Linked DNA regions of Macaca mulatta. The protein of the gene in region 7 interacts with the protein of the main gene of each other region in a pairwise test. Links are inferred from orthologs where the notes say so. Each region holds a gene or a part of one and is shown on either strand. Other genes may lie near its edges. The genes, in order: SPZ1, ZBTB9, SNTG2, DMD, BEGAIN, CEP63 and DTNB.

Region 1 (2,954 bases), on a different chromosome or scaffold from region 7:
ACTAAAGCATTATGTACTTTTTTACACTTAATTTTTTTTTAGAGATGGGATCTTGCTGTGTTGGTCAGGTTTATCTCAAACTCCTGGCCTTGAGCAATCCTCCTACCTTGGCCTCCCAAAATACCACTGCACCTGGCCAAAAACACTATACACTTTTTTCCCCCAGAACTCCCCCTGCTCCCAGGCAATGATTAAATAAAGAAAAAAAAATGTTCCCTTGTATTCTGGTTTTAATGTAGATCTTTACTTAATTGGACCTGTAACTTCTCACTCTAGGCTGTCTATCTAATAATTACAAAAAAAAAAACAAGCAGATTGTAAAGGTGAAAAGTTATGAACCTGATGTAGACACAATGGTCATCAAAGACCGGACTTACATAACTGCTGAGGTAATGAGTAATGTAAGTGTTAATCTTCTTATTCTATAACTTTTTCTTGGTTGAATCAGCAGATCTGCCCAAGGTCTGATGATTGATCATGCCTGACAAGCTGGATGTATCAGATGTAGTTTTTTAAGGATTCACCTTTTCGTCTGCTTTTGGTATTTTCTATCTTAGGCTGCTAGCTGACCTCATTTTTCCCCTAAGAGCTTTTCTTGCAACATGAATATTGAACTGGTTATTGCAAGCTTTCTTATTAAGACAAACATCCAGGCTTCTACAGGATCTGTCTTTTTTACGAAATGTACCCTTCATTTCTTGCTTGTTCTGCTTATACATTTCTACTTTCTTTGCTTCTGATGGCTTCTGATTTTTCTTGTCCTGTTTACAGTTTATCTGAATTGGCTTCTCTTGCAGAGTTCCCTGTTTCTGATGATGGAGTTCCTTGAGAATCTCTACTCTCTGCTGTAAGATTTGGCATTCATTCTCTAGCAAAGCTGCCATCAACTGCAATGAATAGGTGTCATGGCTTAGTTTCTTCACCTGCTCCTCCAGCTCATGCTTAGCTGACACTTCATTATTTGGCTGGGTTTGGAAATCGACTCCATTATTTCTGAGAGTTTCACTTACGTCTTTCTGAGATTTCTGATAGGATTTTATCAGTTCACTGAGCTCAGTATGTTGTTTACTCCAGTGTTCTGCTTCCTGTAGTAATTGCTCCATGTTGTTCCTAATTTTCATAGTTTCTTCTTGAACATTAAGGAGCCTGTTTTTCGCTTTTTCCTGACTTTGTTGAGTTTCGTTGACTTTTTTTTCTTCTAAACGATTTACCAAATCTCTTGCAAAAACTTGTACTATGTTCTCAGAGTCCTGGTTTTCCAATATCATCTCCTGTTTATGTTCATTCTCTTCTTTCTCTGGGGCTAAATTAACAGGCAGGTTTGTTGATAACATTTCATTGATTTTGTCAAGTCCTCTGATATTTTCTTTGTGGGCTGACACATCCTCAGAAATATTGGTTTCCTCAAAAAGTTCTTTTGCTTCTGTGATCTTCTCTTCAAAACCTGCCATATTTTTAAGAATATCTTTAATTTCTTTCAAGAGACTGTTAAACTTCTCTGCAGTCTGTTGTTCTGTAACTTGATGGCTGCTATTCTTTAGGGAAGGGAGAGAGCCCCAGGAGGAAGGGGAAAGTGATCCAATTTCGAATAAGGCAATGGTAATCCTAGGGTCCAGAGATTCTTGATGAGGATCAGGAGTAGGGTTAAGGGTTTTGGAGATGGTGGGCATCTCAGCTGACTTCGCAGAGTTGGCCATTGGGACAGAAGGAAAGCAGAAAACCTTAGAGATTCCAGGATGGACAGGTGATGTTCCTTCGTGCAAATGTGGCTGGAGATCAAGCAGAAGTCAGGGACCAAAGTTAAGGATTAAAATTGGGGAGCTGATGTTTAGGTGGAAGGTGGCATCTCAGACAGCCTTGTGGGGAGGAAGGGTGGGAAAGGGGACCAGGGCTGGGGCTCCATCTCTTCTCCTCTAGGCACCCGGTGTTTATTCTCTGGCCCTAGCAACCAGGTCTTTATTTTGTCACTGCACCATTGTGGCCTATCCGTAGCGTCACAATGGAAGTCTCTTAAATTCCTGCCCAGTGACTCCTGCATCAAAATCCACCTTGAGCTACCCCTACTCCTCATGCCAGAAAGAGCTCATCAACAGCTCTTCCCCTCAATTTCTAGGTTGCTATTCATCTCAGTCTAAATGCACTCAGTTACTTCCCTACCTCACCTCTATCCCCTCACAATCCTGACCTCAACCGCAGCATGTTTTGACCACTTAAGGGCATTGCTGAGACCAGTCCTCTCTGGTGAGGTACCCATCCTTTCATGGCACCCACAGGCTTTATTGCTCCCATCCTAGGAGAGATGTGACTGTAAGAGAAAGTTATCCACACAAAACAAAACCCTGAGAGTGAGAGCCTTTTGTGATTTTAGGAAAGTAATGTCAGGAGTCCCTCCATTCAAAAATATTCTACTGCTGCAAGAAGGGACTATCTGAATGGTTATTTATAATAGCAACACAATTACAAACTGGGACTTTTCTTGGCTTTCAATATAGGCATCCTTTAAGACAGGCTTGGCAAGCTTACTCGCAAATCATTTACATCAGGTGATAGAAAACTTTGACCATTACTTTTCACAGTAACTTATTTGGGGATTTTTTTTTTTTTGGCTCTTTTATTGATCCTCTAAGATTTCTACACTCTACACAGTAACTTGTTAAAATGACACAATTATGTTTCTAAAGTGTTTGATTAGCAGGGCATGGTAGTGTCTGCCTGTGGTCCCAGCTACTTGGGAGGCTGAGGCGAGAGGATCACTTGAGCCTGGGAGGCTGAGGCTGCAGTGAGCCATGACTATGCTACTTATTGCACTCCAGCTTGGGCAACACAGCAAGATCCTATCTCAAAAAATTAAAAAATTGGCCAGGTGCAGTTGACTCATGCCTGTAATCCCAGCACTTTGGGAGGCTAAGGCAGGCAGACCACTTGAGGCTGGGAGTTCAGGATCAGCCTGGGCA
Region 2 (4,217 bases), on a different chromosome or scaffold from region 7:
ACAGTTTCCCTTCAGTCCCATCCCCCCACACATACACCCAGCCGGGGCCAAATTTATACTTATATAAAAGTTGTAAATATGTGAAATTTTATCCCTGTGCCCTTTCCCCACCTCAGGCCCTAGCCCTGGACCCTCCCCAACCTTCCTTCTCTCTTCTTTGGCTGTTGTAATTATCTGGGGTTTGTACTGTACATATCCGGGGTGTGTGTGTGTGGGCTGGGGGCAACCCTTCTGTACAGAGCTTCCTGGCCCCCTCCCCCCCCGCCCCTCTGCTTCCCTCCCCACCCACTACCTTAAGGGTAGGGAGATGCTCTTCCTACCTGTTTTATTTTGTTTTCTCGTTCTCCCTCCCCACCCCACTCCCAGCCTTATCTATCCCCCCCTCGCTGTCCCCTTTTCTCCACTCCCAGCCCCATTTCCTTTTTTTCTGGAGTGTGTGGTGAAACAGAAAAAAACATGTTTAATAAACGGAGATTGTTCTTTTATCGCTGTGCCGACTTTCTTAGGCAGGGCTCTCCAGACAGACCTGTACGGTGGTAAGATCTGCTTTCTGAAAGGAAGCTGACAGCCTGAGAGGAAAACCGTACATCCCCACCTGATGCCACACTCTCCTCATAAAATGTCACTCTCCCCTCCCAATGAGAGTTTTTATATTTTAGAGCAGGAGTTTTGCACTGGCCAAACTTCTCCAGTCTCTCCCTCCCCTCACCACTGTGTCACTTAGTCTGAGGCCAGGAACAGCGGCGTTATCTGATAAAAGAATTCATGTATATATCCACATTTATCTCTTTTAAAAATCACCTAGAAGTAAGGTTTCTTTAATTGCTGGTTAAAATGCTCCTGTGCAGAACAGAGGAAAGAACCTGCCTAGTTCCTTAGCAAATCTGAGATCCAGTCCCAGGTCCACTACTATTAACTGAGTGACGCTTCCAGCCCGTTTCCCCCGCCTGGAAACTGAGGACGGCAACCCCCATCCTCGCAGGGCCGGTGGGAGGACACAAGGTGATGTGGGCAAGTGCCAGGCCCACATGGTAAGTGCCCAACTAATCTTGCCCCTCTCAGGACCTACCGGGGGCGGGTGCTACACTTAATCACCGGGAAACGCAGCTTTCCGGGGCGGCTGACGGCCCGCCCCCTCCGACCGGTCTGTTCTCTCCTGGGACCTGGCTCTCGGTCCTCTGTAGCGGCGAGGACTTCGGCAGCTACCCCAGACGCCCGATACGCTGGCACCCTGAGCCAGCGCCCTCCTACTAGCACCGCCCTCCTCGTCTGCGGTAGCCAGTCAACACGAGGCTTGTAGGCTGCCCTTCCTCGATTGGCTACGCCTCTAGCTCCGCCCGCCGCACTTTGCGACGGCGTCCGGCGGGGAGGCGGCGGCTTCCGGCCTGGGACGGAGCTGTAGCGGCACTGTAGCTGCGAGGGCAGCGCCGCGTGTGTAACGGCGGGGGCGTGTCGGCGGGAAGGACAGCCGGGCCGGGACTCCCGGTGTCCGGGTGACCGCGGTTTCCCGGGAGCAGACCTCTGTGGGCACTGTGAGGCGGAACGGAGCGGCGGGGCAGGAGCTGTTCTGGGCAGGTGAAGACAGGCTCGTGGCTGAAGGACCTCCTTCGCATCTTCCACGGGGGCTGGAAGTTACAACCCCGGTTGGTGTTTGGTGGTGGTGGTGGTTTGTTTGTTTTTCTTTCTTGGTGTGCTGGACTGATTTGCAGAAACCGCCACTGACTTAAAAGTTTCCAGTTATTGCTCGTGGGGGGAGGGAGTTGTTTGAAGAGATGTGGCTCCCTTTATCCAGGGCTTCTGTGACCTCCATCTTTTTCCTTTGCAGCCTTCATCCCGCGTAGAGTCTACCCCCAGGCCCCTCTCGTCTTCCCAATTCTTCTCACCTTCGAGGAGGCCATGGAAACCCCAACGCCTTTGCCGCCCGTACCCGCCTCCCCGACCTGCAACCCAGCCCCACGGACAATCCAGATCGAGTTTCCGCAGCATAGCTCATCGCTACTGGAATCTCTGAACCGCCACAGGCTAGAGGGAAAGTTCTGTGATGTGTCCCTCCTGGTGCAGGGCCGGGAACTTAGGGCTCATAAAGCAGTGTTGGCTGCTGCCTCTCCTTACTTCCATGACAAGCTGCTTCTGGGGGATGCACCTCGTCTCACTCTGCCGAGTGTCATTGAAGCCGATGCCTTCGAAGGGCTGCTCCAGCTCATTTATTCAGGGCGTCTCCGCCTACCACTGGATGCTCTTCCTGCTCATCTCCTTGTGGCCAGTGGCCTTCAAATGTGGCAAGTAGTAGATCAGTGCTCAGAGATTCTTAGAGAATTAGAAACTTCAGGTGGTGGAATTTCAGCCCGTGGAGCAAACTCCTACCATGCCCTTCTTTCCACTACATCCTCTACAGGAGGCTGGTGCATTCGCTCTTCGCCTTTCCAGACTCCAGTACAGTCCTCTGCTTCCACTGAAAGCCCTGCTTCCACTGAGAGCCCTGTGGGAGGGGAGGGAAGTGAACTGGGAGAAGTGCTGCAAATTCAGGTAGAAGAAGAAGAGGAGGAGGAGGAAGAAGATGATGATGAGGACCAGGGGTCAGCCACACTCTCTCAGACTCCTCAGCCCCAGAGAGTATCAGGGGTTTTTCCCCGTCCTCATGGACCCCACCCACTGCCCGTGACTGCTACTCCCCGAAAGCTTCCAGAGGGTGAGAGTGCACCAGTTGAGCTTCCTGCCCCTCCTACTGCGCTGCCCCCTAAAATCTTCTACATTAAGCAGGAACCCTTCGAGCCTAAGGAGGAGATATCAGGAAGTGGAACTCAGCCTGGAGGAGCAAAGGAGGAAACCAAAGTGTTTTCTGGAGGGGACACTGAAGGGAATGGGGAGCTAGGGTTCTTGTTGCCTTCAGGGGCAGGGCCAACATCTGGGGGAGGGGGTCCATCCTGGAAACCAGTGGATCTTCATGGGAATGAAATCCTGTCAGGGGGAGGAGGACCTGGGGGAGCAGGCCAGGCTGTTCATGGGCCTGTGAAGCTAGGGGGAACACCCCCTGCAGATGGAAAACGCTTTGGTTGCCTGTGTGGGAAGCGGTTTGCAGTGAAGCCAAAGCGTGACCGGCACATCATGCTGACCTTCAGCCTTCGGCCTTTTGGCTGTGGCGTCTGCAACAAGCGCTTCAAGCTGAAGCACCATCTGACAGAGCACATGAAGACCCATGCTGGAGCCCTGCATGCCTGTCCCCACTGTGGCCGTCGTTTCCGAGTCCATGCCTGTTTTCTCCGCCACCGGGACCTGTGCAAGGGCCAGGGCTGGGCCACTGCCCACTGGACTTACAAGTGACTGCTGAGGCTATATACTAGCTTCTAGAATGAAATAACCACTGCTGCTGATGGGTACTTTTCCCTCACTACCATGGCACACCAGTCATGGATCTTGTAATCATGCCAAGAGAATAGATACATTGATACATTATGGACCTCTTGTTTTAAGATATGGGCCTCTCAGCCTGGCAGATGTGGAAACTCAAATTTCTCATCCCACTCCAGGTTTTGGCTAGCCAACCCTGCAGGAAAGCAGTTTATAGGCCATTCATACTTAAGTTGATCACTTGCCCATGGTGGACATTTTTGTAGTGGTGATGTCCATTAAGGAAACCAGATTTTCAATTATTTAGTGAGAGAAGAATTAGAGCAAAAGACAGTGGTAAATGTTTTATTCCGTCTCCATGAGGAATTAAAGGAGTTGGTCTCCACCTACGGATACATTTGATTTAGAGCTTGAGTAATTCAGAGGCTAAGCTCTAAACTTTTTTCTCTCTCATTGCTGGAATGATTTAAGCAGAATTCCTTTTGTGTACTTTTAAAATTGTATCTTTCCAGGAGCCCCTCAGATTGTACCTTGCTTTCTCACCAGTAGACACCTTTCCAACACTTTTTTAATGTTGTAGTTGAGCACTTTAACAAGTTGAGCATTCCATGTTTCATTCTTAGAACCTTCTTTAATAGAGGGTATTCCCTCAACAGCCTGTGCCTCTGGTCTACCTTTGACCACCACTGGTAACTCATATATTGGTCACAATGACTGGAATGTGACTAGTGATCTCAGGAGATGGCACTGTCCTAAAGTGCTCTCAGGGTGGCACCACTGCTCTCTGAACAAGTTGCCTTGGTCAGAGGGACTCAGGTTTGGGACAGCACAAGCTGAAGGCTGGCGAGTAACTTGCATAATAGGACCAT
Region 3 (4,269 bases), about 25 Mb from region 7:
TTTGCGATTCAAGAGCTCGTCCTCTGGTAAACCGAGTGCTAAGAAGTGCTGGCCGACTGCCCTGCAGGCTCAACAGGAATACAGAGAACAGAGAAATGGGGAAGGCGTCTGTGTTCGAAACCCAGGTCAGCTCAGCGGTCAAGCAAGTCGGAGTCAGAAAAAGTAAAGTGTTTAACATCGATTTTTCAATATTTATTTGTTTACAATGCGTCACATTCTGTTCCTAGATAGGGTTAACCTCTGAAGACCTCCGATTTCGCTGCTTTTCCTCGCCGTGGAGCGGGAATGAAATCGGCGTCCCGGCCTCGGCGATGCGCGCTCGTTCCTGGGCCGGAGGATTTGGAAAGGGAGGAAAATATCCACATTTTTTAAAAAGTGGGTAGCCCTTGGCTCACGCCTGTAATCCCAGCACTTTGGGAGGCCGAGACGGGCGGATCACGAGGTCAGGAGATCGAGACCATCCTGGCTAATACGGTGAAACCCCGTCTCTACTAAGAAATACAAAAAATAGCCGGGCGAGGTGGCGGCACCTGTGGTCCCAGCTACTCGGGAGGCTGAGGCAGGAGAATGGCGTGAACCCGGGAGGCGGAGCTTGCAGTGAGCTGAGGTCCGGCCACTGCACTCCAGCCCGGGCGACAGAGCGAGACTCCGTCTTAAAAAAAAAAAAAAAAAAAAAAAAAAAAAAAAAAAAAAGTGGGTAGCCTTGTATGCCCCCTCACTCCCCCGCCGCACTGGAATCTATCCTAAACTTACTTTCATTTACATTAAAACGGGACGGTTTGAGTCTACCAAACCCAATACCGCATCTGTGAGGCTCCTTTTGGCACAAACCTGAATGAACAGCGGGAACCGCCGCCTCCGCGGGCGCCTGAGATCTGGGGTCCCCTCCCCACCCGGTCTCCCCGCTCCAGCCCCCGCCCCATGAGCCCCAGGAAGGCACCGCCGAGCGCCGGGTCCTCGCAGGGTCCGGGAGACTCCGCGGACCGGAGGCGGGATGGGGGGCCCGAGCTTTGGGGGCGGGAAGGGAGGGTGGGAGGAGGAGGAGGGGAGCGGGGTTGGGGGAAGTTGGGGCTTCTGTATCTTTTCTCTTGGTCAGGACATCCTCGGGCCCTGCGCTGTTTCTCCAAGGGCTGGGGAGACGCCGTGGGGAAAGGTCTGAGGATGCGGCCGGCGCGCACAGGTGTGGGGGCTTCAGAGGGCCCGGGAGGACCCATGGGCCTCGAGGCTGTGGACTGGAAATGCCCCTGATGAGAAGCTGAGAACCTTTGGCCAGGGAGGTGGGGCGGCCGGGAGAGGTCGTCAAGCCGGTCCACAGCGCGCCCGTCTGCGCCCCAAAGGAGCGGGGGTGCCCCCCTCCCATCCACCCACCCGCCGCCGCCGCGCGCCGCGGACCTCGGCGACCCAGCCCGGGTAGAAGCGCGCGCTCCCCGCCTCCAGCCTCGTGCGCCGGCCCCTGCCCCGCCGGCCCCGCGATGGTGCCCCCTCCACCCCCGCGGGAGCGCCCCTGTCCCCCCATCCTGGCACTTTCCCCGGAGTCGCGCGCCGGTTTCCCGACCCGTGGGAGCGCCCCTCTCCCGACTCCCGCGGATCCGCGCTCGCCGCCCTCCCCGCGGGTGCGCGCCCGGCCCCTCCTTCACCCGGGGCGGGTCTGCGTGGGCGGCGCTCCCGGGCGGCGGGCGGAGCTCGGGTTCCCCAGCTCCGCGCCCCGGTGTAGCCTGAGCTGGAGCCGGAGCCGGCCGAGGGGCGCGGACGCCAGGCTCCTGGCTCCAGGGCGGGGTCCTAGCGTTGAGCTCGGCCGGCCCGGAGCGCGGACCCAGCCGCAGGGGTAGCGATGAGCACCGAGGGACCCCCGCCCCCGGCCGGCCCCCGCGGACGTCCGGGCTGCCTGCTGGTGCCTGCGCGGGTGAGTGCGGCCCCTCTGCGCCCCTGCACCCCCGGCCCGCTTCCTTCTCCTTCGCGCCCGTCTCCCTCCACGCCCACCTCGTTCCCCGCGACCCCTTCCCTGTCTCCGCGGGCGGCTGGTCGGAGGGTGGACGCCGGAGCCCCGGGACGCAATGGGCACCCGCCCCCTGGCCGCTCTGCTCCCTCCAGCGCGGTGTCTTACTGGAAACTTGCAGGCTTTGCTCTTCGAGTGTCTTGCAAGGCTTAGGTTTTGGGGTGCACGGGCTTCCCTAAACTGCGTGGGAGGTAACGCTTTCCAGAATTTGGAATTTGAGATCGGCCCCACATTCCTTCCCAGGAGCGGCTCCTTTGGGTCCAGGCGGTGGTGCGGACCTGAGCGTCCCCCCTGCAGCCTTCTGGCGCCCAGGCCGGGTCTGAGCTGGCTGGAGTGAGCCTGGCCAGGTGCGTGGCGCGGCCTCGGCAGGTGCTGGGGGCTCTTGGCCATTCGGGGAGCCGCTGGGACGCCAACTGGGTAATACGGTTTCTTTTTTGAAGTCTATTCTAGTTCTTACCCTAAATAACTCCCTCTCTACCTTCTTACTTTTAAATAACTAAACTATTGATTGACAGAAAACAAGTATTAGTTCAAAGAAAAACGAAAAGTTCTTGGAAACCTTCAAGTTGCCACCCACAGCACAGCCCCAAGTTGTGAAAGCAGTTTAAGGGAGCACGTGGCCACCCCAGCCCTAGGAAGCTGCCTGGGAGCGCGGCTGTTCAGGAAAATGCATTGACAACCCCTCCTTTAGGATTCCTTCCCCAGGAGCTCCCAGTCCCCGGAGCCACCAGGAATAGGACAGCTGAGAGACGGTTCAGAAGGCCACAGGCTGAGGGCTGCTACACATTCCTATTGTCATAATAACGATTCTAAACTAGGACAGTGGTTGTAGCTACTGTGTGATGTTAAAAAAAATTATGGAGATAGATGCATCTTCATTCAAGTCGTACCTTTCTGGGCTTTTACTACAAAATATGAAAATTAAATTTCATGTAAAATGTGGGTGTTTATTTCTTGACGTATTTGTAACATGAATAGCCATCCCGCTGTTGCCCATGGTAATCAAACCCGAGAAAGTACGCGGGGATTACCTGGAAATAAACTGCAGTAAAAACTGCAGGCGCTCTGGAATCACAGCTTTCCCTCTGGTCACCGCCTTCAGCTTTAAAATGATGCCCTCCCATGGTTAGGAATTGTGCGTTTTTCTCGAGACATTCTTGCAGCAAGTCTTGCTTTTAATCATTGTAATTATAGCAGAAGCTTTGAAGTGGATTCATCATACTTCATAATTGACCCACTTGATGAGTTATTGGCAATAACGTCAACAAATACAGCAACTGCGCGTATTCTAGTAAATGTTCTCATTTGTGCTCAGTGTTAATTAAGGGGCTGAATTTGATGTTTTCCAGTCAAGGGTGGCCTCTGCTCACCTGTTTGCTACAAGATGTGATTGGTGCTTTCTTTGTAATAAGGACCTTGATTATTTGAAACAGCCTATCTGAATTGTGTTGAAAGAAACTTTTTTTTCAGCGTTGGAAGCCAATTATTACAATAAGACGGAAGCGTTTTAAGACCACGACTCCTAACTTTGCAGTCATAAGTAATTAGGTAGGTGCTGAGCCTACCTTAGACACCTTAGCCTACCTTAGACATTAGACACGGTCGTGTTAGCTCAGATTCTTATTTATTTAAAACGAATCTGTTAAGTATTGGTGTTGGCAGGTTTGTCTTGAATGTTCTTAGCATACAATGTCATCCTTGCTTAATGGCAGAGACAACTGCGCAGAATTATTTTCTTACCATAACTGCATAATATTATTCAACTTGTGTAATTATTTCATCATTTCAGTGAAGAGAACTTGGTGCTTTTAACTGGAAAAAGGTGAAAGTCTTTTCTAAATCTTACCTTTCTAGTCATGTTTTTTTTCTATCTGGAGTTGAAACCGTGCACATTCTTTATCATGACTCCTTGTCTGAATCATGGAATTTGGCCACGTTTGAAGGTCTCCTGTTCAGTAGCAAAACTGTCTTGTGTCCCCTTTCTCGTGCCTGTTCTCGATGTCTTTTTCTAAGTTAAGTCAGTTCATGGAGCTCTGTCTCTGACCATACCTGGATTTTGTCTGTCCGTGATAAAATCCCACGGACAGACAACCCTCAGTACAATGTGCTAAGTGTGTCTTGCTTGTAGCTTCAAAGACTACTATTGGTTGATGTTTACAGCATATTTGCTGCTTTTAAATGACAGCACTACTTCTGTCTGGGGCACGGGAAGAATCCTTGACATGAGCTAGGAACGTGCCCGTTTATACGATGAGCTTGCCCACTGAAAGGGG
Region 4 (3,599 bases), on a different chromosome or scaffold from region 7:
GCAAGACTCCGTCTCAAAAAAAAAAAAAAAAAAGACCTGAGCAAGGACAGTGAAGATGTGGAAAAAGAGCAAATGTAGACTTGAAAGACAACAGCAAGGTGATCATGTTGAAGTTCTCTGACTTAGATAAGTGCTTTAAAAATTATTATTAATCATCATATTAAAGGGGAAACTTTCTGTGGAGCATGTATTTTCAATATACATTTAAGTAAATTGGAAGAAAACTCATGTAGACAGTAGAGTTCAATCATACTTTTTAAAAGTAGCGAAACAGCAGAAAGAAAGGTAATATGGCAAAGAATCATGGATGAGAGATATTGGCTATTTATAAATGATAAAAGATGATGATTTTTACCTGATCATTACTTCATACTGGTCAGACAAATAAAAACAAAAGCTCTCTCTTCTAAGATGACAAAATCTTAGTCCGAAAGTTCACAACTGGAGGGACTATTTAAACTGTCATCTGTAGAAAACAATTTGTGAAGTTCGAGTTTAGGGAGGCTATGAAGACACCATTACATTGAGTTTATTGTTCATAGTTTGTTTTATGTACTGTAAGGGCATATTGTTAGTATTCTCATGAGTTGTTTTGTAACTTAAAATTTCTCTAGAGGGGGATATGATTTAATGTTCTTGAGAGTAACATCATAAAACCGCATTTGGTAGTAATTTTTTATTTTTAACAATAGCAGACTTCACACACCAGTGCTCATACAGTAGACCATAAAAACGCAGTCTTAGTAAAAATATTCTTTTCCTCAAGAGCTACTTAGAGACATCCTTTAAACATGGGAATCGTTTTTGGGCTTGTGTTTAGACATAACACAATGATGAATTGTATTAGAAGTAATCAGCACACCAGTAATGCCTTATAATGGGTCTCGTTTCAGAATCACATACAAACCCTGAAGAAATGGATGGCTGAAGTTGATGTTTTTCTGAAGGAGGAATGGCCTGCCCTTGGGGATTCAGAGATTCTAAAAAAGCAGCTGAAACAGTGCAGAGTACGATTTTTATATGATGTCTTTAATATGAATAATTTTGTATGAATATTACTTGGTTAGATCAGTGTTTTACAGCTGGGGTGGATTTTGCCCTCCCCTCACCAGCAGATGTTTTTTTTAATGCTTGTAGACATTTTTGATTGTCATAACTGGGTTGGGGGTGGTGGTTAGATGCTACTGGTGTCTAGTAGGTAGAGGACAGAGATGCTGCTAAGTATCTTTCAGTCCATTGAACAGCCCTCCACAACAAGGAACTGCACAATCTAAAATGTCACTAGTGCCAATGTTGAGAAACCCTGGGTTGAGTAAGTGAGGAATTGAGAAAGCATTGCCTTGTACTCAACGTCAGTTGATAACATTATTTTGCTATAAAATGCAGTATAATTTAAAGGTAAAGAATCCTTTGAGCTACTTGTTATTTCTTACAACAAATTATTATTCATACTGTGTTGTTCTCTTCATGTATAATGCACTGTACTATAACACAATATGTAGTTTTGAAATAATATTCAGTATACCACTGTCATGCAGCAGGAAGAAAATAATCTTGCTCTTTAAAGAATTTTTTTTTACAATACAAGCTAAAAAAGCAAATCCACCTTCACACCCATTACACTGTAAACAATTATCTGCAATATCCTGTGTTTGAAAATGAAAATACTAACCAAGATAGTAAAGTATGAAGCCCATTTTCACACATTTTTCTAACCAGAAATATTAGATTTATTTCCTTTTGTTTCTGATATAAGTAAAATACAAATAATTCCCCACTGGATTCATGCCATAATAACCATTGAACATTTTTGCAAGACTGTTATGCAGTTGTCTATATCAATATATTTGTATCTCAGATTTTAAAAGACAAAAATCCATATGCGATGCCATCAGTCCTAATTTTACATTTTCTAGCTATGTTGCATATTTAATATGTGGCAGTAATTTTTTCAGCTGGCTTAAATTGATTCATTTTCTTAGCTTTTAGTCAATGATATTCAGACAATTCAGCCCAGTCTAAACAGTGTCAATGAAGGTGGGCAGAAGATAAAGAATGAAGCAGAGCCAGAGTTTGCTTTGAGACTTGAGATAGAACTGAAAGAACTTAACACTCAGTGGGATCACATGTGCCAACAGGTATGGACAATGTCTTTCACTGTGGCTAGTCTCAATGTAGTTAAGATTTCCTAATGTCTCCCTTCACCATTACTTTTGTTTAAGGCTTTGTTCCTACGCTGTTGCTTTAAAGCACAATTAATTCTGACAAATTAATCTTTTTTCTAGCATATATAAATATTTTCATAGTATGTATTTTAAATAGTACACATTCATCTTATTGTGGTCCTAAAATGACTTTCTTGAAACAGCTGTCATACTGAAAAATGAAATCCTATTCGTAGTCATTATTTCCAATCCACGTTTTCTTCAGAACATAAATGTATAATAATAGATTAAGAAAAATACATTTCACAGGGATATTTGGTACAAAATAAAATGAATGGGTAATATATGTGTATGTAGAAATAGGGTAAATAATTTTTACTTTTGATTAACATTTCCAAGTTTGGCCTCTTCAATACATTTATTATTTATTTATTTTATTTTTTGGGACAGGGTCTCCCTCTGTGCCTCTGTCACCCAAGCTAGAGTGCAGTGGTGTGAACTCGGCTCACTGCAGCCTCAACCTCCTGGGCTCAAGCAATTATCTCATCTCAGCCCCCACAAGTAGCTGGAACTACAGGCGTGTGCCACGATGCCTGGCTAGTTTTTGTTATTTTTTTGGTAGCAACAGGGTCTTGCTATGTTTCCCAGGCTGCTTTTGAATTACTAGTCTGAAACAATGCTCTTTCCTTGGCCTCCCCAAGTGCTGGAGTTACAGGTGTGAGCCACCACACCCGGCCGACATCTATTTTTAAATAACAATTAAGATTCAGTAACCATTAAGAATAGCTGAATAAAAAAAAAAACCACAAAATGACTGTACACTCATATTTGAGTTTCTCATTTTTCTACAGAAGAATATTTTATAGATACCTATTTTATAGTTAAATATTAAATGATGGATAGTAAGATACATTAAAAAATAATGTATATCAAATAATTTGTGTTCAGAAGGTAAAATTTTGAACTAAAGCAATGAATACTTTTAAGTCACCAATACATTAGTCCCTGATGATCTGCAGTTTTGCTTTCCATGGTTTCAAATGCTTGTGGTCAATTGGAATCCTAAAATTGGCGAGCACAGTAAAATAAGATACTTTGAGAGGGAGAGAAAGAGAGATAACGCGTTCTGTTTTATTAGCTGTTAATCTCTTACTATTCCTAATTTATAAATTAAATTTTATCATTTGTATGTATGAATAGAAAAAAACCTAGTGTATATAGGGTTAGGTATTATCTATGGTTTCAGGCATCTACTGGAGGTCTTGGTATGAAAATGCCTTCCACAGATACAAGGGAACTACTGTGCCTTTTTGGAAATTAATAAGGAGTTTCAATTTACGTGTTAGAGGCAGTCAGTCTCTCGTTACTGCTAAGTAAACTTTCAAAATAGAAAAGAAGTAATGTCAAAAGGCAAAAGCTACATTTGAAAATGAA
Region 5 (4,088 bases), on a different chromosome or scaffold from region 7:
CAAAAATTAGCCAGGCGTGGTAGCAGGGACCTGTAGTCTCAGCTACTTTGGAGGCTGAGGCAGGAGAATTGCTTGAATCTGGGAGGCAGAAGTTGCAGTGAGCTGAGATCAAGCCATTGTACTCCAGCCTGAGCAACAAGAATGAAACTCCGTCTCAAAAAAAAAAAAAAAACAGTACCAGAGGCAGGTGATGCAGGGCTGGTGTGATGATTCAGTGGTCATGGGAGATCCAGATTCCTTTTGTCTTTCTGCTCCTCCATCTTTTATACATGGCTTCTGCCACAAGTTTGTCTCATGGTGCAAAATGTCTGCCACAGCTCCAGCCATCACTTCCATGTTCTAGAGAAGCAGCAGGAGGATGGGGAATGGGAAAAGGACACAGGTTGTCTGTCTGATCTTTTTCGCAGAGCTCTGCCAGCAGTCACACCCAACTTCTGTTTATAGTTCATTGGCGACCTCCTGGCCTGGCTGCATAGGAGCCCAGGAAAGATGGTCTTTTAGCTAACTACCCTGTATCTCAAAAGAGAATGAAGGCTCTGTAATAAGGATGCACGGGAGGACAGTGGGCTGCCCGCGGCCTCTGCCGACCCCTCCCATTTGCTGGTTTGCTGCAGTTCCAGTTTGCCCTGCTTCAGGCCCAGTGCTCACGCTGTCATGGTGACCATCGTGGCCATCTGTCCACTGCCTGTCCTCTGTGCCCCTGCACCCTGGACTGCACCTGGCAGAGGAGATGTCAGAGTAGGAGAGGGGGAGGCCCAGTCCAGGGTCCTGTGTACCACAGGAGCTCACTCAGGGCGGGCTACCTCCCCAGGCAGAGCCCAGGACATGACCTTCTCCTCTCTAGCACTTTCTAAGCCCTGAAGCTCAGCTTCCATTTAGTGAGAATCGATTTGGGGGTGGGAGGCCGTGAGGCCCTGCCACTGGATCAATGGGCAGGCGGGCATCTGGCTGGTTGCCCTGGTCTGTGAGGACGGGAGGCACAGCCCCTAAGAGGGCACAGGGATCCCAGCCCCATGGGAGGAGAGGAGTGGGTCACGGCGCTCTTGGGGAGCCCAGACCTTGGACTGACTCAGGAGGATGTTCTCAGGGGCCAGCTCCCAGGTACGGGGCTCTAACCCTGCCTGTCCCAAGCAGGGCAGCTACAGCTCCCTCCTGGAGCCCAGGGCAGCAGCCGCCATCAAGGAAGCCCACAGACAGGACCTTCGAAGCCACATGCCAAGCCCCAGCCAAGGTCGGAATCCTGAGGGCAAATCATCTTGCCCCAGCTGGGCAGCTCGGCCCAGCCAGGAGATGGCCCGGGTGTCGCCAGTCCGGCCGTCCTCCCCAGAGTCCCTGAACACAGGCAGCCGGGCTGTCACAGGCTCCCTCGCACGCCTGGGCCGCCGGCGGGAGGCCAGACTGCCCTTCTCCAGGTTCCTGGATGAGGTCACTGTGCGGGTTCTGGACCCTGGGACCCTGGAGGCCTTCAGGGTACCCAGAGGCCGCAGCCCAGAGCCCTCCGCAGTGGATCGAGGCCAAGGCCTGGCCCAGGAGGCCCTTGCAGGAGCTGCAGCCCCAGGGGAGAAGGACCCGGCCCTGAGCTCCCAGCCTTCTTCGGAGGCGGCCGCTGAGGCTGCAAGCAGAGTGGGGCCAGGCCAGGCCGTGGGAACTAGTGGGCCTTGCTTGGGCAGTGGCAAGCGCGGAGGCCGAGCTGCCTCCCCTTGGAGGCCTCCAGGTCGGGTGAGTCTCAACCCCAGAGGTCTCTTCCCTCCTCATGTGCCGTTTCCCCACAGTTCCTGTCTGACCTGCTCCAAGTTCCCTCCCCACACCCCTTTTATAATATCTGTAATAGGAAAGGCCTTAATTGCCAAAGGAATGAATCTCTAAGGTGAAATTTCTGACTTTGGGGCAGGCAGACTATTTCTGTATGGAATGCACATGCGTGAACAGTAATGATAACAATTATCATAATCCTCTCCCCACTGTGGCAAAGCCTTGGTGGTTTACCTCGGGCTTTCCTGTGATTATCCTTTTACAGTTTTGAGCCTGAGACAACCCCACATGAGGCAGGCTGTCCCACAGGCTTGTCAGGCAGGGAGGTGAGCTTTCATAGCTGCCCCCATTACATGGAGTTGGAAACTGAGGTTGTGAGGGGCTGCCACTTGCCCCAGGTGACACAGGGAGTCCTGGCTTGGGCTGTAGAGCTCTTTCATCGTACCCCGTCCACACATGCACTCTGACCTCAGACAGACAGACAAAAGATGTGGTGAGATTTCCTTAGCTGTCCTGGGGACGGAGCTGTGCAGAGCATTGGGCAGGTGGGACCTCACTCAGGGACTGGCACCCCCACCTTGGTGCTGACCTTCCATGCCCTGCACCGTCTGTGTCCCGTGGGCCAGGGAGGACCCCTGGGCTGCCTGGATGTTGCTCGTGCCCCAGTTCCACCTTCTCCCAACACGGGATGGAGGCAGAGGCGGTGGGCTGGGTTTGTGGGATATCAACCTGTAGCCTCCCAGGAAGGCTTTTCTGCTGGGAGGGGTTCTGTTCTGGGGACAAACCCCGGCTGAGTGCGATGACTGATACTCACGGAGCGTTGACTAGTGTTCTCAGCTTCTGACCCCCAGCTTGGGCGCAACTCCAGGAGGTCAGCGCCATCATTATGTCCCCAGTGCACAGAGGAAGAGGGAGGTGGAGGAGCCGGATTGGGCCCAGGCACTTTGCCCTCCACCTCTGCACCTCTGCCACCTGTGTGCTGCTGGCCCTCAGGTCAACTGCTCTGTCCAGGGATGGCCAGGGACAGGCCGGTGGGTGGGAAGTTCTGGTGATTTGAAGCCCTGCCAGCCCTTTCCCCGTAGGTCTGCATGGCCAGCTGGGGCCAGGCAGCTCTGGGTGGAAGCGCATCTCGAGGGTCAGTGGCCTTCTGTGTGACTCTGGACAGGTCACCCAGCCTCATTGTGCCTCAGTTTCCCCAGCAGTGAAAAGTCAGTCATGGTCACAGGCACCTAATAAGCATTGTGTCCCCATCTGCTCCTCCAGGGGGTGGTGAGCTGGGAGCCCCGCTTCTCTGCTGCTCTTGGCTCCGCTTACCATGCAGACCGCCCTCTGGGGACTGCTGAGCCCCAGGGGAGTCCTGGTGCCGCCTGGGCCCTGGAAGATTCCATCCCAGGGCTTCTTGCACATATCTCTCGGGGCCTCAGGGCCTGCTGGGGCCCAACAGTATGTTCAAGGGGCGAGGCTGCACCCTGGGGCCTGGCCAGGGTGGCCCCACCCAGGAGCCCAGCTTGACTGCTTGAAGCGAGAGGTGGCATCAGCCTCAGCAGGAGGGGCTGGACCATACCTGGCCTCGGAGGCCCCGGTCGCCAGGCCTAACTCCTGCTACACCCCACCTTCTCCCACCAGTCCCCCAGGATCGTATCTCATGATGGGCGCCAACTCTGAACCCTCCAGCTCCAGCCTCAAATCAAATACAGCAAGCCTGTGAAAGGGATCCTAGGGTCAGGCTCGTTCCATAAAGCAGGCACTGAGGCCCGGAAAGCTGAGTCCAGCAGAGTCCTGGTTGGGCTGTGCCCTGGCTGAAGTCACACTCCCCCCAGTGTCTCCATGGGGACATTAGAGATAACTGAGGAAGGGCCCTGGCACAAGGTAGGGATTCAGCCGCCGGGATGATAGTGGTGATAAAGATAGTGATGCCAGCCCTTCACAGGGGCTTGTCTGTTGATTTGAGTACCCACTGTGTGCCCTGTACCTTCCTGGCCTGGACAAGCCTCTATCCCCAGAATGCTTTCTGGAGGGGTAGCTCTGGGGAAGCAAGGCAGATCCCGGGCTTCCAGTCACCAGCCTGCAGACCCTTTGTTGAGAGACCGAGCCTGGGGCTCCACCATGAACCAGTTCTGGGAGGAAGCTGCTGCCCCAGGAGAGCCCTGGGTTTCATTCCTGTCCTGTGCTGTCCTGCCTGGCTGAGTGGCCGTGGGTGAGTCTCTGGTCCTCCTCTTCGTTGGTCAACAAACAAGAGGCAGCTGTAGAAGGTCTCTGGGACCTCCGGTTATCACAGACTTGGGACTGAGCCTCATTTATACTAGTGTGAATGACTCAATCCAGTGTTTATCTGA
Region 6 (4,199 bases), on a different chromosome or scaffold from region 7:
AGTAGCCACTAGGCAATCTGTAGGCGCTTGCCACCACGCCCGGCTAATTTTTGTATTTTTAGTACATACGGGGTTTCGTCATGTTGGTCAGGCTTGTCTCGAAACTCCTGACCCCGTGATCTGCCCGCCTCGGCTTCCCAAAGTGCTGGGATTACAGGCATGAGCCACCGCGCCCAGCCTAGGAACTGAATTTTTAATTTTATTTCACTTTAATTACCCACAGCTGGCTGGTGGCTACAATACTGGACAGTGCAATTCTACATCTAACTACTGGTTTAGAGCAGTGGTCCCCAGCCTTTTTGGCACCAGGGACCTGTTTCACGGAAGAAAATTTTTCAACACGGACAGGGTGGAAATAAAAAATTTTGTAAATATCTTTTTGTTAACATTCATATGAAATGTTTTGGGGGAGGAATGGCCAAACCACTTTTTATTTATTTATTTATTTTCTTTTTTTTGAGATCCAGTCTCACACTGTAGCCTGGTCTGGAGAGCAACGGTGTGATCTCAGCTCACTGCAACCTTCGCCTCCCGGATTCACGTGATTCTCCTGCCTCAGCCTCCCGAGTAGCTGGAATTACAGGCGCACACCACCACACCCGGCTAACTTTTTTGCATTTTTAGTAGAGACGGTGTTTCACTATGTTGGCCAGACTGGTCTCGAACTCCTGACCTCGTGATCCGCCCACGTCAGCCTCCCAAAGTGCTGGGATTACAGGCGTGAGCCACCGCACCCGGCCAACCACTTCTTCAGTAATATGAATAATACACATGGCAAGGGTTAGGGGCATGGTTTCATGATGAAACTGTTCCACCTCAGATCATGAGTCATTAGTCAGATTCTCATAAGCATGCAACCTAGATCCCTTGCATGCGCAGTTCACATTAGGGTTCATGCTCCTAGGAGAATCTAACCCCACAGCTGATCTGACAGGAGGCAGAGCTCAGTTGGTAGGTAATGCTCACTCGCCTGTCACTCACCTCCTGCTCTGTAACCTGGTTCCTAACAGGCCACGGACTGGTAGTGCTCTGCAGCCCCGGGTTTGGGGGCCCCTGGTTTAGAAGCCATAAAGGCAACAGAGATACCTGTTAAAGGATACTGTGCAATGTAATCTGCTAAATTTAGAACTGTAAGGAAAAATAGGGGCTAATCCCATAGCTATAGCTATGAGGGAACTGCTATAGATTAAAAGATGTCAAATATGCATCACCCAAACACAACAGGCAGATCCCTGTGGGATTTTGGTTCAAACAAGCTAACTGCAAAAAAGACATTTAAGAGAGAGTTGAAGAAATCGTAATCTGACTGGACATTGACATTAGAGAATTTTTATTAATTTGTGTATGTGTAATGACAGTAGTGTGGCTTTGCAAAACTGAAAAACCTAGCTCCTGACGGGGGCGGGCAGGGGACTAAAATAACATAAAGATCGGAAATTCAGTTCCTGAAACCTTGTGTCAATGTTGGCTTTAGCTGAATTCCAAATCAAGTTGACATTTTTTGAAAGCAGGAAGCAATGACAGAGTGGACTACTGATGCTGTCACCATCTGCCAGCACAACGTAAATTAGAACAGAAAGGACTAAGCAAAGGCATTCCACCTTTTAAAGAGAGAAAATGGCATCAGTACAATCAACATATACAATTTTTACAAACAACTTTTAGAGTTGCATCTACATACATTTTAAAAGGCAGTGTGCCTGTTTATAAATCTCTACCCCATTTTAGTTTCAGAGCCTTTTTTACTACCCTGATCACTGATCATGCCACAGTCAAAAGGCAATCTCAAAAATTAATCTAAAAATAGTACTGCATTCCAAATAAGAAAATATATATACTTTGTTTTACTATTAAGCTACAGCTAACAGAAATCTAATCAACGATCCTTATGATTTTCTCTTACCTAAAAAATAAACGCAAGCACGTGAGGAACTGTATAAATACAGAGCATCTACCCTACAATACTGCTTTATAAAAGAATAAATTCTTTTAATAAGTTTAACCGGACATAAAGCTCAGGGAAAACTACTTTGTGCATATTAGTGTACGGTGCTTAAACTATACAAGATGACTAGTCTCTGACATCATACACATCTTTACTCTCCTGATGTCGTATACGACATAAAAAAAACCACATTATAAGCCTAAATGTACTGTCTTCAAGTATCTCCATGATTAAAGTGTTCCTAAGAAACCGTCCTTGTTTCTTTCTATCCCTGATCTGTGTGCATGGAGCAGTTAGTTCAGGGTTCTCCAATTTCAGTCCACGATTTCTGCCATATTTCCGTACCTGCTGTACTAAACATAACCGTTTACACCAACTCACTATTTTAAAAGCTGCCAACCTTAACATGCCACCCTAAATGAGCGGGTCCCCTTGTGCCGTGAATGAAGTAGTCCTAACAGCGCTAGCTAAACAGCAGCCCTGGCCGGGAGGCCGCACAGGGGTCCCTCCGCTGAAAAGAAAGGTGGGTCCGCCGGGAAAGGTGAGTACTGGGCGCAGCTCGCCCGCCCACCTGGCTACTCTCCGAAGCGCCCCCAGCCACCCGGCCTCCGAGGAAACGCTGTGACCACCTGGCGGGGCCGAACCGCGCGCCGGGCTGCGCCATGCCGGACTACGCCGGTGTGCAGGGCATAGCGGGCCAGGCCGAGGGACGGGGCTCCGGGGCGGACGCGAGCCGGCGGGGAGGCGCCTGGTGGTTCGCAGACTGTTGCGCGAACCGGCCGCAAGCCATGAGGCCGCGAAGCCAGAGTCACCAAGGCAGCCTGGGCCGCCTCCGGACCAGGACGCGCTCGCCCCTTGCGCTTCCGTCTTGCGCACGGGCGGTTACACGGCTGCAGCAAGCGCATCCCTCAGCCTTCCCGCCGTTACCTCGGGCGTGCACTGCGCACGCGCGCCACCACTAAGCTTACGTCCAGCCTCAGCAGTCGGAGCGTTCGTTCCGCCCACTGCCCCCACACTTTTAATAATTGAATCAATGTCTTCTCCAGACTTCCCCTGCACGCGAGCAAATGGACTCACCCACATCCGGGAATCCGAGAAAGAGCGTGCAGACACGTGATGCGGGGCGTGGCAGGAGGAAGCGTCTGCCGCGCTGGGCCGCGTAACGGTAAGGGTTTGCAGCGCCCCCGGCCTAGGTTTTGGAGGCGCGGGAATGCGTTCGTGGCTCAGTGTCGGACTTCCCCCTATTTCCATCGGCCGAGGCTGTCACTTTACGCTCATAACCGTTTTCTTTACTGCACGCTGTGTCGGGAGGAAAGGGACTTGCTTGGCACCCCAGACCTCCCCGTCTCCGCTTCCACGTTTGGTACATCCTGCGTCAGGCCGGAAGCCGCGGCTGAGGGGCGGCCTCTCGTACAGTGTGGTGGCCTGCGAGGCTCATTTCTAGCAAGGAACAATATTTTCCCGCTTTGACCTTACAGATACATGTTTACAAAGCTATAATGTATAGAAATGGATAAGACATGTCCCTGTCCCGGGAAACGCAGGCACTGCGTGTCTGGAAAGACATACATCTGGGCTGTTTGACAGGCTACCTAGTTGGTGCCATGCTCTGTGCTTAGGGAACTATGAGATCCCCGGTGGGTACTGGGACCGCGCTCAGCCTGAGGTTTGGAGGCGGCCTCCTACAGGAAGCGACTTGAGACCTGAGATTTTTAGACTGACTATGGGTTCGCTGGAATAAAAAGGAAGAAACAAACAGCATTGCAGGCATCGGGACTGTCACGTGTAAGAAAAGTTTGTTCAGGAAACAGTGGTCGTATTGTGTGACGAGTATTTGGGACGGTGGCTGTGCCTTGGGCATTGATTAGATTATCTTGTTGCTTTCCATCCTTCCAGCCCCTTAAGAGTGAAGGCACCTTCACGCCTAACCCCGGAAATGGGATGTTGACCTCCAAGAGCTGACGCCTGCGTTGATCTTGAAAGGAAGAGTGGCATTAGTGATGTGGAAAGGGGGGTTTTAACTGTCAAGGCTGGAAAATGTGACAGGGTTTGAGGTGTTTGGAGAAGGGACAGGTGAAAAAGATTGAGGCCAAATTGTAGAAAGATCTACTAAGGAATCCTGGGTACAAAATGTACACATAACAGTTGGAGACAATAATACCTGAGCAATTGATCACAAAGCTTGTTTAGTAGATTTAAGTTAGGACAAGAAGCAAGAGTTCAAGGATAGAAGGCCTACTGAAGCTCGAGTGAT
Region 7 (4,301 bases):
AAGATGTCCATCTTTTTTTTTTTCTTTTGAGACAGAGTCTCACTCTCTTGCCCAGGCTTGGAGTACAGTGGCGCGATCTCGGCTCACTGAAACCTCTGCCTCCTAAGTTCAAGCGATTCTCCTGCCTCAGCCTCCCAAGTAGCTGGGATTACAGGTGTACACCACCACGCCCGGCTAATTTTTGTCTTTTTAGTAGAGACAGAGTTCTGCCATGTTGGCCAGGCTGGTCTCGAACCCCTGACCTCAAGTGATCTGCCCGCCTCAGCCTCCCAAAATGCTAGGATTACGGGCGTGAGCCTCGACGCTCGGCCAAAAATGCTCATCTTTTGAGGAACCTATTTGTTCCCATTTAACAAAGTTGGTTATCAGCATTTCCTTCACCATAGGAGTTTAAAAATAAAAAGAGGAGAGGAGGAGGAAGAGGGTGTTCTAAAGGCAGGCAGGCAGGCAGCAGCAGGAGGTGGCACGATCTGCCTTACCATAAGGTGCCAAAAAACAGTGAAAACCATACTCCCAGCATGCAAGCCTGGGGTCGCTTAGCTCTGGAGCTTACAGCCTTCATCATTGACCAATAGCCCCTAAAGGACGTTGCTGTTTTGAGTCTTAAGTAACGTTGAGAAAAATGACCATTTGAACCATTTACAAAGTCCTTGCTACATCCTAATTTGGCACCATCTCCTGTATTTCACACAGTTTGGAAAGAATTCTATAAAAGATGGGTAACAGTAAAACACAAAAAAGCTGGTGCTTTGATGGTAAATCTGACTGCCCCTGGCTCCTTTGCTCAATCTGTTTTCCCAGCCCTAATGTCCTCCCTTTTTCCTCTTAGGACTTCTTTTTCTTCCTTCGAGGCTGACCATAAATGCCGCCTCTTCCAGGAAGCCCTCTGCGGCGTCCAAGCGGAAGTCATCTCTAGCTTCTGTGCCTTCCCACAGCATCGCACTGTGCCTTGGCTCTGCACAGGTCACCGGACTTGGTTGTGTACACGGCTGTTTTCCCCGCTAAGTTTGGGGAGCCTCGAGCCCAGGCGCTGTGACCGTGATCGTGCGCCCACAGGTACCTGGTGCGGCGCGGGGTGAACGCCGCGGCTGAGCGAGCTTGCGGAGTTCATGCGGGTCACTCGGGCAGAGGCTTGTGCCCTAGGCGCAGAGAATGATTCACGGGGTGGCTCTTTGCATTCTTTGCCCGGTAGTCACGTCGGGCCGGGCACCCTGCCGGCGGATACCAGCGGATGGAAAGGCACCGGGCCCGGCGCCAGAGAGCGGGAGAAGCCTGGATGGAGCCAGCTTCCCGCCTGCCCGGAACCGCGGGGGCGGGGTGAAGGGGTGCTCGGCCGCTCCCGCCCCCTCCTCGCGCGCGGAAGCCACGCCCCCGGTCGCGCGCTCGCGCTGGGCGCGCGCCCGCCCCTCCACCCTCCGCCCTCCGCCCTCGCGCCCTCGCGCCGGGGGCGGGCGCTGCGCGTGCCGGGCGGGGAAGCGGTGCGAGCCAGGCGCTGCGAACGTTCGCCGCGGGGGCGGCTCCGGGGCCTGAGTGGGCGCCGCCGCTGCCTCAGCCGAGGGGGCCGGGCCGGAGCGTGAGGAGGAGTGAGGCCGCAGGAGACCTTCCCGACGCCCCCTGCTCCTGCAGGGAAGTGAGCAAGGTGGGGGTCTGCGGCCGCCGCCGGGGCTGCGGGGAGCAGAGTCGGGCTGGAGCCTCGCGCCCGCGAGGTGCGGGACGGGAGCCCGCGCTGCGCCGGGACTGGGGACCCGGGAGTCTGCGGGTGCGGCGCCGCGGGAGGCGGGGAGGGCGCGGGGAGCCGGGGCCACTGCACCGCGCGGGGCTGCGAGGTGGGACAGCGCAGTCGGCCGCGGAGGGACAGGCAGAGGGGATGCTGCGGAGCCCGGGCCGGGAGGGGTCTCGGGGTCCGGAACGCGCCGGGGCACGGGCGCGAGCTGGGGCGCGGCGCCGGGCTGATGCTGCCCGAGCCCGGCTCGCCTGGAGGCGGCTCTGCATTAGGTGCTGAAGGGGCGAGTGAGGCAGGTCCTGGCAGAGGGCAGGTGAGGCGGGCAGGCCCTGGCAGAGGGAAGGATATTTATTTCAGATCACCCCAAATCACTTTTTCCCGAGGCGCCTAATAGCGAACCTGTCCGGGAGGTCACCCTGGTCAGGAAAGTGTCCCGAGAGGAGGATGCCGGTAACGAATACTTGCCCTTAAATTCCCGTGCCAGGCCTTGGGATTAGAAAGACCTTCCAGCTACTGTGGGTAGAGACCCGTAGTCAGCACTGGGGCCACGAAATAGTATGAAACACCCTCATGTTATTGAGGTGCTGGCAGTGTGACTGTGAAGATATGCACATAAAATACAAAAGAGCGTCCAATTTTATGTTTTATGCCGTATTCACTTTAGGTCTCTTTTGTCTTTTCCCAGTATTGGGAAATTGAAGCCATAATTTGCGTGGTTTGGAGAAAAAGCGGAAAGGTCAAATAAGCCTATGGGAGAAATTTGGGAGAGTTTCGAAGGCTCCTACGGGTACCATTTAAAGGGGGCTCTCAGAGGGGAAAAAAGACGTTTGGAAAGAAAGGAAGTTTCCTTCCTTCCCAACCAGAAATAAGCTCCATGACAATTCACTGCAAAGTCTTCAGAATGTTGCCTGTCTCACAGCGGTCGAGCCATAAATGTCTATTGCATGAATGAATGGACAAGCAAGATTTGGCCACATTTGCCATGGAGCAGTGTCAGTCACTCTAGTGTTAGGGAACGTTGCTAGATTTCCCCTGTTCCACAAGTTCTCTCTCTCTGCCTTTTTTTTTTTTTTTTTTTTTTTTTTTGCCATGCCAGGCAACCCAGTTTCTAAGGTCTGGGCACGTGAAAGCAATGGCTAAGGCGGCGAGGTCTTGGTTTCTGTGGCCATACTACCACTTTCCCATGTGTCTTACATGTTGACCGTCAAGAGCTTGCTCCTTGGGCTGTTGCTTGAGATCATCCCATTTTGTTCCTTCTCCCATTGGCTTTTCCTGTCACTTGAGAAGGAAGAGGGTTGTGTTGTCTAGAAAACACTTTTTCATTTTCATCCTAGTTCTTGGATCTTAGACCTGTAGTGCGAGGCTATCGGTGCCTCTGCTTTTCTGTAAGGGCTAGAATCCTACCTGTCCTCTGCCTTGGTTGAATCTCTGAACTCTGGAGCTCCAGGCTGCTGTTTCAGTAACCTGGGTTGCAGTGCCTGTTGGGTTACTTTGTCTGCCAAATTAAAACTTGACCTTTTATGAGTTCTCTGAGGATTTTTATCATAATGCATAAGTGGAATTGCCTTTCAAAGGGGTTGTGCAGTCAAGGTAGTGCTGGCAGTTTTTGGATGTCCACTATGCCCGGGAGACAAATTTCTACCTATGGTTAGAAAATTAGACTCAGAACCAAGAGAATTTCAACTTATTGTTTTATTTTTTGTCTTTATATTACCCCAGGGCCTTAGTTTCTTCGTGTGAAAAATAAGAGTAATAATCAAAATCTGGCATTGTATAGGAAGTCTTGAATAAGTAAATTTATTTCTCCTGTTTGAATTATATGAGCATCAGAGCTGTGGCGTCTAGTTGTGTAGATTGTATACTGCCCAGCTTTAGGGAGCACCATTCACATTGGAGTCCCCGTGCCCGGCAGCTCCTGGAGTTGTGTAGTGCATACTCTGTGTGACTGTGTACAGCCAGCAGGTCTCTTGTTGAGAGGTGCATAGGTTCTACAATATTGGGTGCCTTATTCCAGGCGCGCTCGATGATATTTTGTTTATATATTTATTTTAAAACCAACCTATTGATGTATAGTGGACACAATAAAATGTACAGATTTCCCATGTGTGGTTGGATGAGTTTTGGAAAAATGTGTACAGTGGTCCCCCCATTAGCCTCAGGGATATGTTCCAAGAGCACCAGTGGATGCCTGAAGCCACAGCTGATTCCAAACCCTATATAGACTGTTTTTTTCCCCTATACTTAAGCACCTATGATACAGTTTTAACTTATAAATTAGGTACCATGAGAGATTAATGATTTCTGTTAGGCATATGTTTGGCTTCTCTGTGGCATATCCCAATTGCCAGCATCACTACTCTTGCACTTCGGGTTTATTATTAAGTAAAACAGTGGTTACTTGAACACAAGCACTGTGATACCATGACAGTCAATCTGATCATTGAGACAGCTACCAAGTGAGTAACCAGAGGGTGGCTTATGCAGTGTGGATATGCTGGACAAAGGAATGGTTCACATCCCAGGTGGGACAGAGTGGGATGGCACAAAATTTCATCAGGCTGCTCAGAATGGTACACAA

What was found.
Region 1: the proteins of DTNB (region 7) and SPZ1 interact in binary tests that used the Homo sapiens proteins (3 or more experiments, as listed by UniProt). The two-hybrid records come from large-scale screens. The link is inferred for Macaca mulatta from reciprocal best matches to the Homo sapiens genes DTNB and SPZ1.
Region 2: the proteins of DTNB (region 7) and ZBTB9 interact in binary tests that used the Homo sapiens proteins (3 or more experiments, as listed by UniProt). The two-hybrid records come from large-scale screens. The link is inferred for Macaca mulatta from reciprocal best matches to the Homo sapiens genes DTNB and ZBTB9.
Region 3: the proteins of DTNB (region 7) and SNTG2 interact in binary tests that used the Homo sapiens proteins (3 or more experiments, as listed by UniProt). The link is inferred for Macaca mulatta from reciprocal best matches to the Homo sapiens genes DTNB and SNTG2.
Region 4: the proteins of DTNB (region 7) and DMD interact in binary tests that used the Homo sapiens proteins (3 or more experiments, as listed by UniProt). The link is inferred for Macaca mulatta from reciprocal best matches to the Homo sapiens genes DTNB and DMD.
Region 5: the proteins of DTNB (region 7) and BEGAIN interact in binary tests that used the Homo sapiens proteins (3 or more experiments, as listed by UniProt). The two-hybrid records come from large-scale screens. The link is inferred for Macaca mulatta from reciprocal best matches to the Homo sapiens genes DTNB and BEGAIN.
Region 6: the proteins of DTNB (region 7) and CEP63 interact in binary tests that used the Homo sapiens proteins (3 or more experiments, as listed by UniProt). The two-hybrid records come from large-scale screens. The link is inferred for Macaca mulatta from reciprocal best matches to the Homo sapiens genes DTNB and CEP63.

Annotation. Positions count from the first base shown.
Region 1 is NC_133411.1:86,662,195-86,665,148, reverse strand, and holds SPZ1 (spermatogenic leucine zipper protein 1), read right to left. Parts: upstream 1,698-2,954; coding exon 549-1,697; downstream 1-548. UniProt on the Homo sapiens protein: Transcription factor that binds to the DNA sequence 5'-CANNTG-3'(E box) and the G-box motif. May play an important role in the regulation of cell proliferation and differentiation during spermatogenesis.
Region 2 is NC_133409.1:148,823,470-148,827,686, reverse strand, and holds the start of ZBTB9 (zinc finger and BTB domain-containing protein 9), read left to right. Parts: upstream 1-1,375; 5' UTR 1,376-1,575; exon of another isoform or gene 1,576-1,643; intron 1,644-1,825; 5' UTR 1,826-1,896; coding exon 1,897-3,321; 3' UTR 3,322-4,217. UniProt on the Homo sapiens protein: May be involved in transcriptional regulation.
Region 3 is NC_133418.1:123,844,471-123,848,739, reverse strand, and holds the start of SNTG2 (gamma-2-syntrophin), read left to right. Parts: upstream 1-1,381; 5' UTR 1,382-1,831; coding exon 1,832-1,903; intron 1,904-4,269. UniProt on the Homo sapiens protein: Adapter protein that binds to and probably organizes the subcellular localization of a variety of proteins. May link various receptors to the actin cytoskeleton and the dystrophin glycoprotein complex.
Region 4 is NC_133426.1:32,395,892-32,399,490, reverse strand, and holds part of DMD (dystrophin), read left to right. Parts: intron 1-893; coding exon 894-1,007; intron 1,008-1,982; coding exon 1,983-2,138; intron 2,139-3,599. UniProt on the Homo sapiens protein: Anchors the extracellular matrix to the cytoskeleton via F-actin. Ligand for dystroglycan.
Region 5 is NC_133412.1:173,917,137-173,921,224, reverse strand, and holds the start of BEGAIN (brain-enriched guanylate kinase-associated protein), read left to right. Parts: upstream 1-1,279; 5' UTR 1,280-1,290; coding exon 1,291-1,719; intron 1,720-4,088. UniProt on the Homo sapiens protein: May sustain the structure of the postsynaptic density (PSD).
Region 6 is NC_133407.1:37,528,406-37,532,604, reverse strand, and holds the start of CEP63 (centrosomal protein of 63 kDa), read right to left. Parts: upstream 2,889-4,199; 5' UTR 2,851-2,888; coding exon 2,575-2,850; coding exon of another isoform or gene 2,517-2,574; intron 1-2,516. UniProt on the Homo sapiens protein: Required for normal spindle assembly.
Region 7 is NC_133418.1:99,327,783-99,332,083, forward strand, and holds the start of DTNB (dystrobrevin beta), read left to right. Parts: upstream 1-1,410; 5' UTR 1,411-1,639; intron 1,640-4,301.